Linked DNA regions of Diceros bicornis minor. The protein of the gene in region 3 binds, or shares a complex with, the protein of the main gene of each other region. Links are inferred from orthologs where the notes say so. Each region holds a gene or a part of one and is shown on either strand. Other genes may lie near its edges.

What was found.
Region 1: the proteins of GPSM2 (region 3) and FRMPD4 are in contact, whole or in part, in a crystal structure (PDB 4WND), measured with the Homo sapiens proteins. The link is inferred for Diceros bicornis minor from reciprocal best matches to the Homo sapiens genes GPSM2 and FRMPD4. Residues at the interface, in NP_001307967.1 of Homo sapiens: Leu25, Ala28, Leu29, Glu32, Asp57, Lys59, Thr60, Ser62, Ala63, Ile64, Ser66, Gln67, Asn70, Phe73, Tyr74, His85, Asp88, Ala92, Gly100, Lys103, Asn107, Asn110, Thr111, Lys113, His128, Arg143, Tyr146, Asn147, Asn150, His153; in NP_055543.2 of Homo sapiens: Gln988, Leu989, Leu990, His991, Ser992, His994, Met995, Glu996, Met997, Glu998, Pro999, Glu1000, Thr1001, Met1002, Glu1003, Thr1004, Lys1005, Ser1006, Val1007, Thr1008, Asp1009, Tyr1010, Phe1011, Ser1012.
Region 2: the proteins of GPSM2 (region 3) and NUMA1 are in contact, whole or in part, in a crystal structure (PDB 6HC2), measured with the Homo sapiens proteins. The link is inferred for Diceros bicornis minor from reciprocal best matches to the Homo sapiens genes GPSM2 and NUMA1. Residues at the interface, in NP_001307967.1 of Homo sapiens: Ala28, Leu29, Glu32, Cys35, Lys36, Phe47, Lys59, Thr60, Ser62, Ala63, Ile64, Ser66, Gln67, Asn70, Ala71, Phe73, Asn110, Lys113, Tyr146, His153, Lys157, Pro164, Gln165, Arg203, Gly206, Asn207, Asn210, Tyr213, Leu214, Arg228; in NP_006176.2 of Homo sapiens: Ser1901, Phe1902, Tyr1903, Met1904, Gly1905, Thr1906, Cys1907, Gln1908, Asp1909, Glu1910, Pro1911, Glu1912, Leu1914, Asp1916, Trp1917, Asn1918, Arg1919, Ile1920, Ala1921, Leu1923.

The regions. Positions count from the first base shown.
Region 1 is NC_080781.1:9,643,769-9,647,512, forward strand, and holds the start of FRMPD4 (FERM and PDZ domain-containing protein 4), read left to right. Parts: upstream 1-1,068; 5' UTR 1,069-1,174; coding exon 1,175-1,215; intron 1,216-3,744. UniProt on the Homo sapiens protein: Positive regulator of dendritic spine morphogenesis and density. Required for the maintenance of excitatory synaptic transmission. Binds phosphatidylinositol 4,5-bisphosphate.
Region 2 is NC_080746.1:58,562,575-58,566,318, reverse strand, and holds the start of NUMA1 (nuclear mitotic apparatus protein 1), read right to left. Parts: upstream 2,274-3,744; 5' UTR 2,176-2,273; intron 2,150-2,175; exon of another isoform or gene 2,032-2,149; intron 1-2,031. UniProt on the Homo sapiens protein: Microtubule (MT)-binding protein that plays a role in the formation and maintenance of the spindle poles and the alignement and the segregation of chromosomes during mitotic cell division.
Region 3 is NC_080743.1:42,061,007-42,064,750, reverse strand, and holds the start of GPSM2 (G-protein-signaling modulator 2), read right to left. Parts: upstream 2,241-3,744; 5' UTR 2,016-2,240; intron 1-2,015. UniProt on the Homo sapiens protein: Plays an important role in mitotic spindle pole organization via its interaction with NUMA1. Required for cortical dynein-dynactin complex recruitment during metaphase. Plays a role in metaphase spindle orientation.

The DNA.
Region 1 (3,744 bases), on a different chromosome or scaffold from region 3:
ACTCTGCCTAAGGTGAGTGTTTATGTTTTTGTGGTTTTGTTTTTTGAGTAAGGTTTTTTCTGTTTTTTTCCCTTCTCGCTCTGCCTGCCAGACCCTCCTTCTCCTCCCTTCTTTTCCTTCAGATTCTGAACCCCATTCAAATTAGTCTCCGCGCCACTGGCTCCTGGGACCCTCATCTCTCTGCCCCTCTAGTAAGAAACAGCTGTGCCCCCCTCCCCCCATGCCTCCTGTTCTTATTTTCTTATTTCTCCGACGCTCCCCTGGTGCTGCTGTCCAAAGACACACCTTCCCAGCTAAGCCAGCTGTCTAGTCTCGCTCCAGCGGTTCGGGGGAAGCAGAGGGAAGTCTGCACTCTCCAAATCCACCCCTCTGCGTTGGGCATCTCCCTCCCCTTCCCCTTGATAAACGATCCAGCCTCGATCATCCCTGCTCCTTCCTAATTGCTAGTCTTGTTTGTGGAACAAACCAAGGCTTTGGGCAACCTGCGGTTACACAGCTCTCCTTTGGTTTGGGGAGGGAGGGGGTAGCGTTCACGGTCCCCGGTGTGCCCAAGACTGTTAGACCAGATCTTTCAGATCTGGAGGCACAGGCAGCCGGTGACAAGAGAGCCCCCCCACCCTCGTGGGTGGGGGTGGGGAGAGGAGAAGGGACTCGGCTTGGGGAAGGAGGCAGAGAGGCAGCTGCAGTGCCGGGAGGGGTGCGTGCGCGTGTGCCAGGCTCGCCCGCCGCCTCCAGGCTCAGTCTGCGCTCCTCGGCACGCGGGGCAGCCGGGGCCGGGGAGTACGAACAGCGCCCCTTGCCCGGGCCTCGCCTCCCCAGGGCGCCCGGCATTCCCCCGGGCCTGGGCGCACGGGGCGGAGCGAACGACAGGGGCTGCGCTCCCCGCCCCCGCCCCTCGCACCCTGCCCGGCCCCCTCTCCATTGAGTTTTCCCCACACCGGCGCCCATCAATGGTCCTGCTCGGGGATGCACACGCAGCTCACGGCCGGAGGGGGGTAGCAGCCGCCGCCGCCAGGTGCGGGCTCTCCCGGGCCGCCGCCGCCACTCGCCGTCGCCGCCACTCGAGCCCCGGGGCGCGCTGAGGTCCTGGCCGGCCATGGGGCTGCCTAGGCTGCCGTTGATGGCGTGAAAAGGGGCGACGGAGCCGCCACGCTCGGGGTCCCCGGCTGCCTGCATGGATGTCTTCAGCTTTGTGAAGATTGCAAAGCTCTCGAGGTAGGGGCTGCGCCGGTGCATTTGCACCCAGGGCCGCCGCCGCGGGCAACTTGGTGCTTTATTTTTCGGGAGGCTCGGGGAGAAGTAAAAGCTGGAAAGAGCTGCGGGGCTTAAGATAGGACTGCAACGAGGTGGCCAGGGGCTGCTGCGTTCAACTTATTTCTCACTGGCTGGTGGGGCTTGTGTATCGACGGGTGTAGACCACACACACAGAGATACACACGCCCTCACGCACACACCAATGTTCACGACAGTTTGTTTTCCCTTAGGAAAAGCCCCAGTGGTACTTGGGGTCACATGTATAATTCAGGGCTAAGAGAAGATGGTTGTAATTGCTACTGCTAGGGAAAGCCAGAAGAGCTTAGAGCTTTGCTACCTGCTTTCCAAGCGGTAGTGACCAAAAGTGCCCCCCCGGCCCCGGCAATTAGACCTCCACACCCTGGAAAACTTAGCTTGTTTTGGGTTGACCCAGGTAACCGGTCAGGTGTTCCCAGCAGTGACCTAGATGCTGAAGTCATGGAGACAGAAGACAAAGACCTTTAGCCTTTCTTTGGGTAACTATGTAGTCCTAAGCCTTGAAAGACAGAAATTTGCTTCCAAGTGGCCGTGTTTTTGAAGTGGAAAAAAAGTCATCAATTCAGGCAGATTTCTGGAGCAGTGCTGATAGAGGAAGAACATTTCCACTTTTTGGCCACCTAGGTATTACCTGGTCAGAGCATTGCTCCTAGGTCTTCTGCTCTGCTTCCCTTTCCAAAGTCTTCATCGAACTCAGAAAGTAGGTCTGTGCTTCTTGCAATGTGGCATTAACTGGGAAGGGCCTGGTATGATTGTAGTGCGGCAAATTAGGAAATCTTGCCCCATCTCCTCTGCCCAAGTTTTTGGAAAGACTGGCCTTCTGCCCCGGGAGCTCTTGATAGCAGTTACTACCACACCTTAGGAGGTAGACAGTAGGGGTTTCCCAGGACGCAGTTTAGACTTGCTTTCAAGACAGAGAGAATAATTCTAGGTTTTCCTTCATTCCTTAGTGTCACGGTGGGACACGAATGCATCAGGCAAGAATGAGCGGCCTCAGATAGCCTAAGTCAGAAATGTATGTTGACTTTGCTTTGCTAAATTACATTTGAGACATTTCAGAAACATTTCCTTTGGATGTGGCCATTCAGATGTGCCTCTCCAACAACCATAGGTCTTGATTTGTTCTTCTTGCCCATCTCCACCTTCCCTCACTACTCACGTGGGTCAGTCTTAATGTCACAAGCAGATTTCCCAGGGAAAGGGCCGCATTGTAACTTAGTCTGGGTAGATGTGAGGTATACAGTTGATGGGTAAATGTCTTTATTGAAGAAGAGGCGTTGCCCTGCATGTCAGAAGACATATGTCAAGCAGTAGATGATTGTAGTGTGGCAAATTGTTTGGTTTCATGCTGATATCATAGAGGGCCATGGCTTCACACCTCTATTCTATTAACTTCCTGCATGCTTCTGCCTATGGCTGGTTTATCAACAGCTGTCAAATCATGAACCATGGAATGGAAACGGCTATGAGCAACAGTTTAGCAATTGCCTGATGCCATCTGTGTGATGGCAGAGAGATTGCCAAAGGGAAAGAAGTTGAACCAATAGTATAGTTTACAGTAACCAAGGTAGATTTCAGTGGCCTCAAATGCTAAAAAATGATAAGATTAACGAAACATCTAGAGCCTAGATTTACTTAAACTTTGGAGTTTGGGAGCGCACAGAGCTGTGTGTCAGTGAAAAGATGTTTTATACTCGTTTTGCTAAATTCTAGGGTGTCTTCATGATATTCACAAATCTGAGTTTTTGCAAAACCCAAGCCAGGCTGTGGGAGATTAGTATCTTATTTTAAAAAGAGGTTAAAATTTAGTAAATGAGTGTGAATTTCACTTTCTATCCTTAACGTGATCCAAATAGAGTGTTTATTCTAAAGAGAGAAGCTGCACATGTTCTGAGCTTATGTGCCTATTAAGAAATCTTCCATCCATGGGAAATCTTCTTGTTTCTCAGTGTGAGCTCAGTGATGGTCCCCGAGCTGAAATAGAAATACCTGTAGAGGGTCATCAGCATGCAGAAACACATGTTTGCAGCTGCTTGTTTCTGCCCTTGAAGGAATAAAGTCCTGTGCGTGTGTTGTAAAGGCTGTTACAGAAATCAAGTTCTTTTCTCAAAGGTGAAGTATAAAAGTGCTTACACTGCAGGATTTTCCTGATTTCAGAATGGATAATCTTCCTAAAGGATTTAGCTTTGATCAACGTGGTTACTTGAGTGCTTAAAATTCTCTTGGTTTGGAGATGAACACACGTAGTTACCCCGGGCCTTAGCCTTGTCTTGGTTCTCAAGAACTTGAGTTTCTAAATGTTGATTCGGAAAGCATTTGCTGTAGAAGCATACCTGATATTTTCTACGTGTTCTATCCGTGAATAAAGAGAGTGGTAATTACAAAGAATTACAAGAGAATACTTATCCACACTGGAATTAATAGGCAGCACATTTTGACTTTTCAAAGTACCTA
Region 2 (3,744 bases), on a different chromosome or scaffold from region 3:
AAAAAACACCTGAAGGATATATTCGTCTTATTTGACACAAAACGAAGGAATAAAATGCAAGAAAGAATAGTGACAAAACAAACAGTAAACATACATGGGGTAAAATGAAATAATCACTGACAGCACAAAACAATAATTATTATTAATTGGAATTGTTAAACATGGAGATGGACTACCTTTTGGTGGTAGGTGGAGATGGACTCCGGAGTGGTCTCATTCTTGGAAGTGCTCATTGTGAGTCTGGACAACACTCTTTGATATGTTTAGTGTACACAGGGTAAGAGGCTGAAATAAATGACCCCCCACATACCCACTGACCATAGGGTTTTATCAATTAGACACGCCATCAAAACATTCCCTGATAAGCTGTTTAGTCATCTGTGGCAGGACTTCCCCCCCATCCTAATAGTTCTAGAATTCAAGTTCAAGGCATTCTTCCCACTTCCATATTCCATGGATAAAAAAGAATATTCTAACTAGAAATATTTCTTATATGAGCTTTTGAGGAAGATCTTCTAATTTGGGGGGAGTACAGCTTTTGGTTTTAGATTAAGAACCAGGCATTACAATTAGTCATCATTTGCTTGAACTTGGGCCAAAAAAAGAGTTCTCTGGAACTTTCACAGAGAAGTATGTGCTTCTTCCGCTAAAGAAGAAAATCCACATAGGAACAGAGAGGGAGGGAACAGATACACTCATCCCTGCTGATTGAAAGTTACCTTACTTGATATGAATGCTCCCTCCAGGTTCCCATATACTCCCAACAGTAAAAATCTCCACAAGGTAGAGAGCCCCCAATTCCCTGACTATCAACAGTCTGCCCACCACAGAGTAACACATTTGACAATCCAGGGACAGCCCTGGTGGGCCTAGTGGTTAAGTTCCACACGCTCTGCTTCGGCAGCCCGGCCGCGTCTCTGGGGCAGAACTTCACCACTCATCTGTCAGTGGCCATGCTGTGGCAGTGGTTCACATACAAAAAGAGGAAAATTGGCAGCGGATGTTAGCTCAGGGTGAATCTTCCTCAGGAAAAAAAAAAAAAAACCACAATCCAGAACTTTGGGAACACAGGACCAGGCAACAGACACTGGAGAGAGGGAAGCACGGATTAAAGCAAGTAAATATCACATTTTCAGGAGGCAGTGCCATTCCAGGCAAGAGGATAGCCTAATACAGAGGTTCAACAGCCACTAAATAACGATGGGAAAGCCGGGCTCCTATCTCCCTTCAGCCCAAGAAAGCTCATTCATTTCAAAGCACACATTAATGGCCCGGTTCATATCCTGCATGGGCATCAGGATACAGGGACAAAAGACACTGTCTCTATCTACAAGGGCAGACAAACATGCAGACACTCTTAGAATACCAGATGAAAAACGCTACCTCAGGGGCAAGCAAAAGAGGGCGCCCAGAGGAGGCAGCATTAACCAGATGGGCTCTCTCCCACCAACAACCTTCACACAGTCACATCCCTTATAGTCACAAATCTGTTCTCTCCAAGATGCTCGCAAGAAACACCTTACCCGATTTGACCCTCACAACCACCCCAGGAATGTAGGTAAGGCAGGTAAGTTCGTTGTTTACATATGTGAAAAGTGAGCGTCAAAATAAATGGACTCGTCCAAGACAAGCCACACCCCCAGGCACTCCCTCCCCCCGTCCTCATTTAGGCCCAACCCTCAAGAACCCCAGGACAACCAACCACTCACCAGCTATGTAACCCCGGCCAAGTTCAACATTATAAACTTCGATTCCCCATCTGTCATAAAGCACAATAAGGTTGTTCGGAAGATTTAAAAGATGATCCATATAAAGGGTGTAGCACAGCGTCTGAAACGTAGTTGGTGCTCGGAAGATGTTTACTACTACTATTGTTAACAATGACAGGCGCAGACTTCCCATTACAGGACCTCTCGGTGACAAGCCTTTCGGGAACATGCACTACCCCCACCCCAGTCGCCGTCAGACCTAATTCCACAGACACGCCCCCAAACAGAGCTTCCCCCTAGGCACGCCCGTCTCCTCACACACCTGACCCCCGACGGATTCTCCCCTGTCAGACTCGGCTATGAAGGAGGCCTTCGGCTCGCACCTGCCTCTCCAGCACCCCCTTTAGGCCTGGGCATCCCCGCGGGCGCCAAGGCCGAACGCCAGCCGTGGGCCCGCGCCGGTTACCTGGCCGCGCGCTCCCGCTCCGCCTCAAGGTGCCTCCGAGTGTTTTCGTCGCGGGCTCGCGCGAGCGCTGTGAGAGCACAATTAGTTTAAACTATGGCACCGCCCCCTCGCGCCGCCCTCTGATTGGCCCCTGTCGGCGGGTGTCGAACGCAAGGGCACGCTTGAGGACCCGAGAAAAGGAAGTGTGAGGGCCACTGGGAAAGGAGAAGGGGTGTCACTACTTCCGGACCCCGGATTCGACTTGAGGGCAAAGACGACTACAAATCCCAGCACCTCCCGCGGCCTTGGAGCCCCGCCCCTGACGAACTACAGCTCCGGGTAGGCCTCGCGGCAGCGCATACAGTGCTGAAGGTAGTTGCCATGGAGTTGCGCTGAGTAACCCTAAGGTAGTGGGACGCCGAGGCTGGAGGGGAAGCAACTGCGGGTGAGTCCGGCGGGAAAACAGGAAACTCGCTCTAGGGGACGAGAGCTCTATGGAAAGGGGAAGGGCACCCGGAGAGACTAAGAACTTCCTCTCTCGGGGACCTGAGACCCCCCCCACCCCCCACCCCTTATCGCCTTTCACAGTGAACAAGACACAACACACATGTGGGATAGAGGGGCGCGGGGAGGGGAGGGAAGGACGCTGAGATGTATACCCATACAGATTTGGGGGTGCTTTAGAACCTCCCCCATCACAAACATGGGGCCCCCTAATACGAATGCCTCAAATCCCTGACACACCCTGGGAGATCTGAAACGCCCTCAGACATGGGGTTGGTTTCCCTCTGAGGAACTGAGACCCTATTCGAGACAAGGGAGTAGCATTAGAGTACATCACAGGCCCTAATACTGGAGATGTAGGAAACTTGATGGGGCTTGAACTGCCCATTTCTTTCCAAGCAGGAAGACCCCAGGGTAAGCCTTCTTCTCAGAGAGTCAGCAGGATCTTCCCACACATTCATGAGGGGTCCTGTGCCTAAACGATCTCTTCTTCCTACGCCTCCGTGGTCTGCTTCTCGAAGCTCTACAGTTAGAGCTTCATTCCTTTTACTGTCTTCATGACAGATCTATTACATTTAGTAACTTACCCAGCGCTTTCACATGCAGTCTCTTTTGAGCTTTATGAGTCAAGCATATGTATCCCCATTTCATAGATTGGAGAACTGAAACCCTGAGAGGAGCAGCGGCTTGCCCAAGGCCACACACCAAGTCAGTGACAGCTAGGACTAGACCCCAGTTCGCCAACTTACAGCCAAGTGTCTAGCTTGAGCCTACAGCCTCTCTAGTGTAAGCACTTGTTCCAAGGAGTAGGTTCAGTGGCCCCAGGGAGAAGAAACCTGTATGGCCTACTTTGGGTTATTTATACTTCAGGCTGAATGAGTTTCACATCCTTCCTTGAAAGTTTAAGTGGGGAAAGGGAACTAGAGAGACTGAAGACAGTGGGAATCAAACAGATTTAACTAAACTAGCCAGGAAACAGTCTGGCTAACACAGCACCCATGTCTGATGCTCCCATGATTAACTGGCTTCTGGATGGCTTCTAGCTGGCCCTGATTGGTCCACTTACTATCTTAAAGCCCTGGCCCC
Region 3 (3,744 bases):
ATAATAATGAGAAAACCGGCCTTTAGTACGTTTCTGCTCCACAGTAAAGAATATATTCATATTCATGTAAATAACTCAGGAAAGTCTTACTCTTAATTTTTTACTGTTTTTATAAAGATGATTAAAAGGATTTGTGATTTATAAGGTATTGAAAGGAAGACAGAAGTCCTAAACTAAGGACTGAAATATTTCTGCATAGTTCACAACAAGACACAGCACCTACAGGCATCTTAAAAGTAGGATTATGTCCTTACAAATGGAATCCAGAGACCTGGAGGAGATTTAAACAAAGACACAGACGCGATACAGCATGTGCTTTGGGATCAGGCCACGGTTTGAAGCCCAGCACAGTAACTTAGTTATATGATCTTGAGCTAAACTCGCAGAGTTGGTTTGGGCATAATGATACTTATCCAACACCAACATGTGTTGTGATGATGGGAGATCTGATTTATAAAGCACCTAACCCAATGCCTGGCTCTGGTACTTAACGAAAGTACTCAAAGTATAGTAGCAATAATAATAATAGCTATTATTATTATTATAAAAAAGAACATGTCTATTAGAATAGATTTAGGATAGTCTAAATCTATACCAGATTTTCAATTTTAAAATTCCAGAGATTACTAATTACAAAATTTTATCTTTTAGGTAAATCTTAGAAATATTTTATCCTTAAGAACGAGGCCATTTTAAAAACGACTATATCCTATCTGTGTTACAATTAGCCTAAGTACCAAGTCTGAGATTTATATTAAAATATAATATTTGTAACACTGCATGTCTGATTGAATAACAGAAGAAAACACACCTAAACTGCTTATCTAGCCAAAGAGGATTCGGAGGAAATGCCTCTCAACAATATCACACAACTTTTTACTTTGTATCTGCTCCACTCCTTACATTGTAAAGAACAGCCTGAGAAAGAGTTTGTCAGAACGAATCCACGGTAAGGTGTAAAGAAGAGTAGGTATGAGACTGTCCCTCAGCCCCTGAGCCCTCACACACATCCATGTCAACCAACAGTGATCTGCTGCTTACTCAGTTCTAAAAATCAACCACAGTTGCTTCTTGAAAAGTGACAATTCAAGCAAAAGTGGTATTTATCAGAGGTAATCACACTGGCGGCTATCAGGCTGGAAATCTTCCGCGCACCATTCTAAAGTGGCAGCCTGAAAGTTCAGCTCGGTCGGTACATCAACCTCCCACACCCACGACGAGAGACTCCAACACAAGCCGAAGAAAGCAGAGCCAAGAGCCTACTTCGTTTAACTCCACGGTAGGGTTTAATTATGCATTAAGGCAAATAAAATTTCCATCCTTACTCCTATTCTTTAACGGAGTTCAAATGATACTAGTTAAAATGATCTAACTGGTTACCATCAAAACAAGGAAATTACACATTTTCCACTTTTTACTATTCGAAGATATTCTATAGGTTTTCAGCAAAGGGCTTTCTTAACATTCCATGCTTACTAAAACTTTTTGCAGCAACTACCAATTTTTATGGTAAATCGACAGGCTGGTGTCCGAAAGATCATGAATTTAAATATTGTAAACGCAGGTGTTTGACAAAAACTGCCTGGTTTAGACAGCAGCGCACGACTACAAGTGACTGCAATCTGCCTGGGGTCTAATTCCACAGGGATTCCGATTTTTCAGGTTTGTTACTCACACTGAGAATACGTGACAAATCACTGTATCCTAATATACTTTTTATTTAAAAAATACTAGGGAACTTTTTATTTAAAAAATACTAGGGAACGAGGCTCGTAAGCTTTACTCTCATTTTAAAACGTCCACCAGAAAGCAGCTGAGCGCTCGTCCTGGACGCAGCTGTCCCTCATCCCGAGTTTCTGGTTTCTCCACTCGCGTCCCCGCCGACCACCCCCGGCTCCTCCCGCCCCGAACAAAGGCGGTCGCCCCCAGACCCTGGACACAGAGCCCGTCCCACACACGCCCCCTCCCTGTCACCTCCCGCCGCGGGGCGCCCTCAAACGCCCCTCAGAACTCACCTCCCGCGGGCCGGCGAGTCCTGGGAGCGCGGGGGACGCGGCGAAGCTGCAGCAGCGGCCGCCTCGGGCGACGGGCGGGCGGCGGCAGCCCCTCCACCAGGCGTGTCAGCGCGCCACGGGCGCCTCGCCAGGCAGGGGCACCGCGGGAGGCCGGCGCGCGCCCCCCGACCCGGCCCCCGGCGGGTCACGTGGGCCAGACCTCCCTGGACTCGCCTCGCCTCCCGACACGTCCCACCGCCAACCAGGGGTCCGCAGCGCCGCCCGCTCTTCACCGCTCCCCTCCTCTGCGCCTGCGCCCCGGCTCCAGTCGCTCACATTCAAACAGACACCGCCCCGCGACTTTCGGACCCGCCAATGGCCGGCGGTGGGGCGGGGCGGGGCGGAGCGATCGTCCCCGCGCGGCCTCCGCCGTCCTGGGTGGGTGGGGTTCTGCGTGTCAGGCTGAGGGGGGCGTTGGGTGATTCGGTCCTCCGCTGCTCCGGGATCTGCCCTCCAGCACCAAATTGAAGTTTCTTTCCCGTCGTCGTCTTTGTTCTTCAGACACTGAAGGGTGGAGCGATAAATATTGTCCAGAAAGAGGTCTTCGGAGGGGCTCTTGTCCAGACCCCTTGAAAAGACGGGAGCCCAAAACCAGTGCCTCCTGCCCTTAGGACTCGGTCCTGGCCCAGAGAATGAGTATCCCAAGCGGCATATGCGGGATGTTTCAGAAAAAGAGGGCTCTGTGAAAGGAACAGAGGGACCCGTGTGGAGGTCTGAACAAGGCAGCCTCAGTTCTTGAGGCTGTGTCACAGTTCTGGCGTTTCCAGCTGTTAAAAAAGCAAACTTCTGTTGACTGCAGAATCGCTGGTTCCCAGCAAAATTGGGTAGCCGTTTTACTCAGTTTCAGGCAGCTACATTCCAAATACACTGGGAAGAATAAGTTTTATTTCCATTCACTTCCTCTCCATATCGAGTTAACAACAAATAGATCTCAGTTTGTTTTTCTCAAAAATTCCAAGACTTGTCTCTCTGGGCTAAAGAATTTGACGAATTTAATTAGATTATTTCTCAGGTAGGTGTTTCTACAGGCTTAAGGATATATTAAAGAAACCCTCGGTTTCAATCTCTCTGTGAATGATGGCCACAACCAGTGATCCAAGCAGCCTTTCTCTTATTGGGAACATGTTATGGCAAATTGGTTAAAATAGATTTGGCATCAAACTAGACCTGGAATTTGAGTTCCTTCTCTGCCGCTTACTGGCTGGTTGACCTTGAATGAGTTACTTATCTTCTTTAGCCTTAGTTTCCTCAGTTGTAAAATATAGATAATAAGTCCTCTTCTAATAAGGGTGGTTGTGATGCTTCAGTGATGTAAACATTGTTAAGTGGTTAGCATAGTGCCTGACTGCTCAATAAATGGTGCCTGTTGTTAGCAACAACTACCTTTAGTAGCAGGTTCTTATAAACAACAACTGAATCAGCTGGCTGTACTATTCAGAGGTAGGTATTATAATTCCTTCTTACTCATAAATTCTTTTTTTGGGTGTTAATATGAAAGCCACAAAGGAAGTACAATATATCAAATTCAACATGTTCAAAATGAATCATTTCCTGCAAATCTTCTCTTACAGTGACTTTCTATCATTGATATTGATCTCCATCTTCCCAATTACTCAAATTAAATTATCTTTTAAAAGGCATAAATCAGATTATGTCCCTCTCCTACTTGAAAATCTTCAGTGACTTCTCA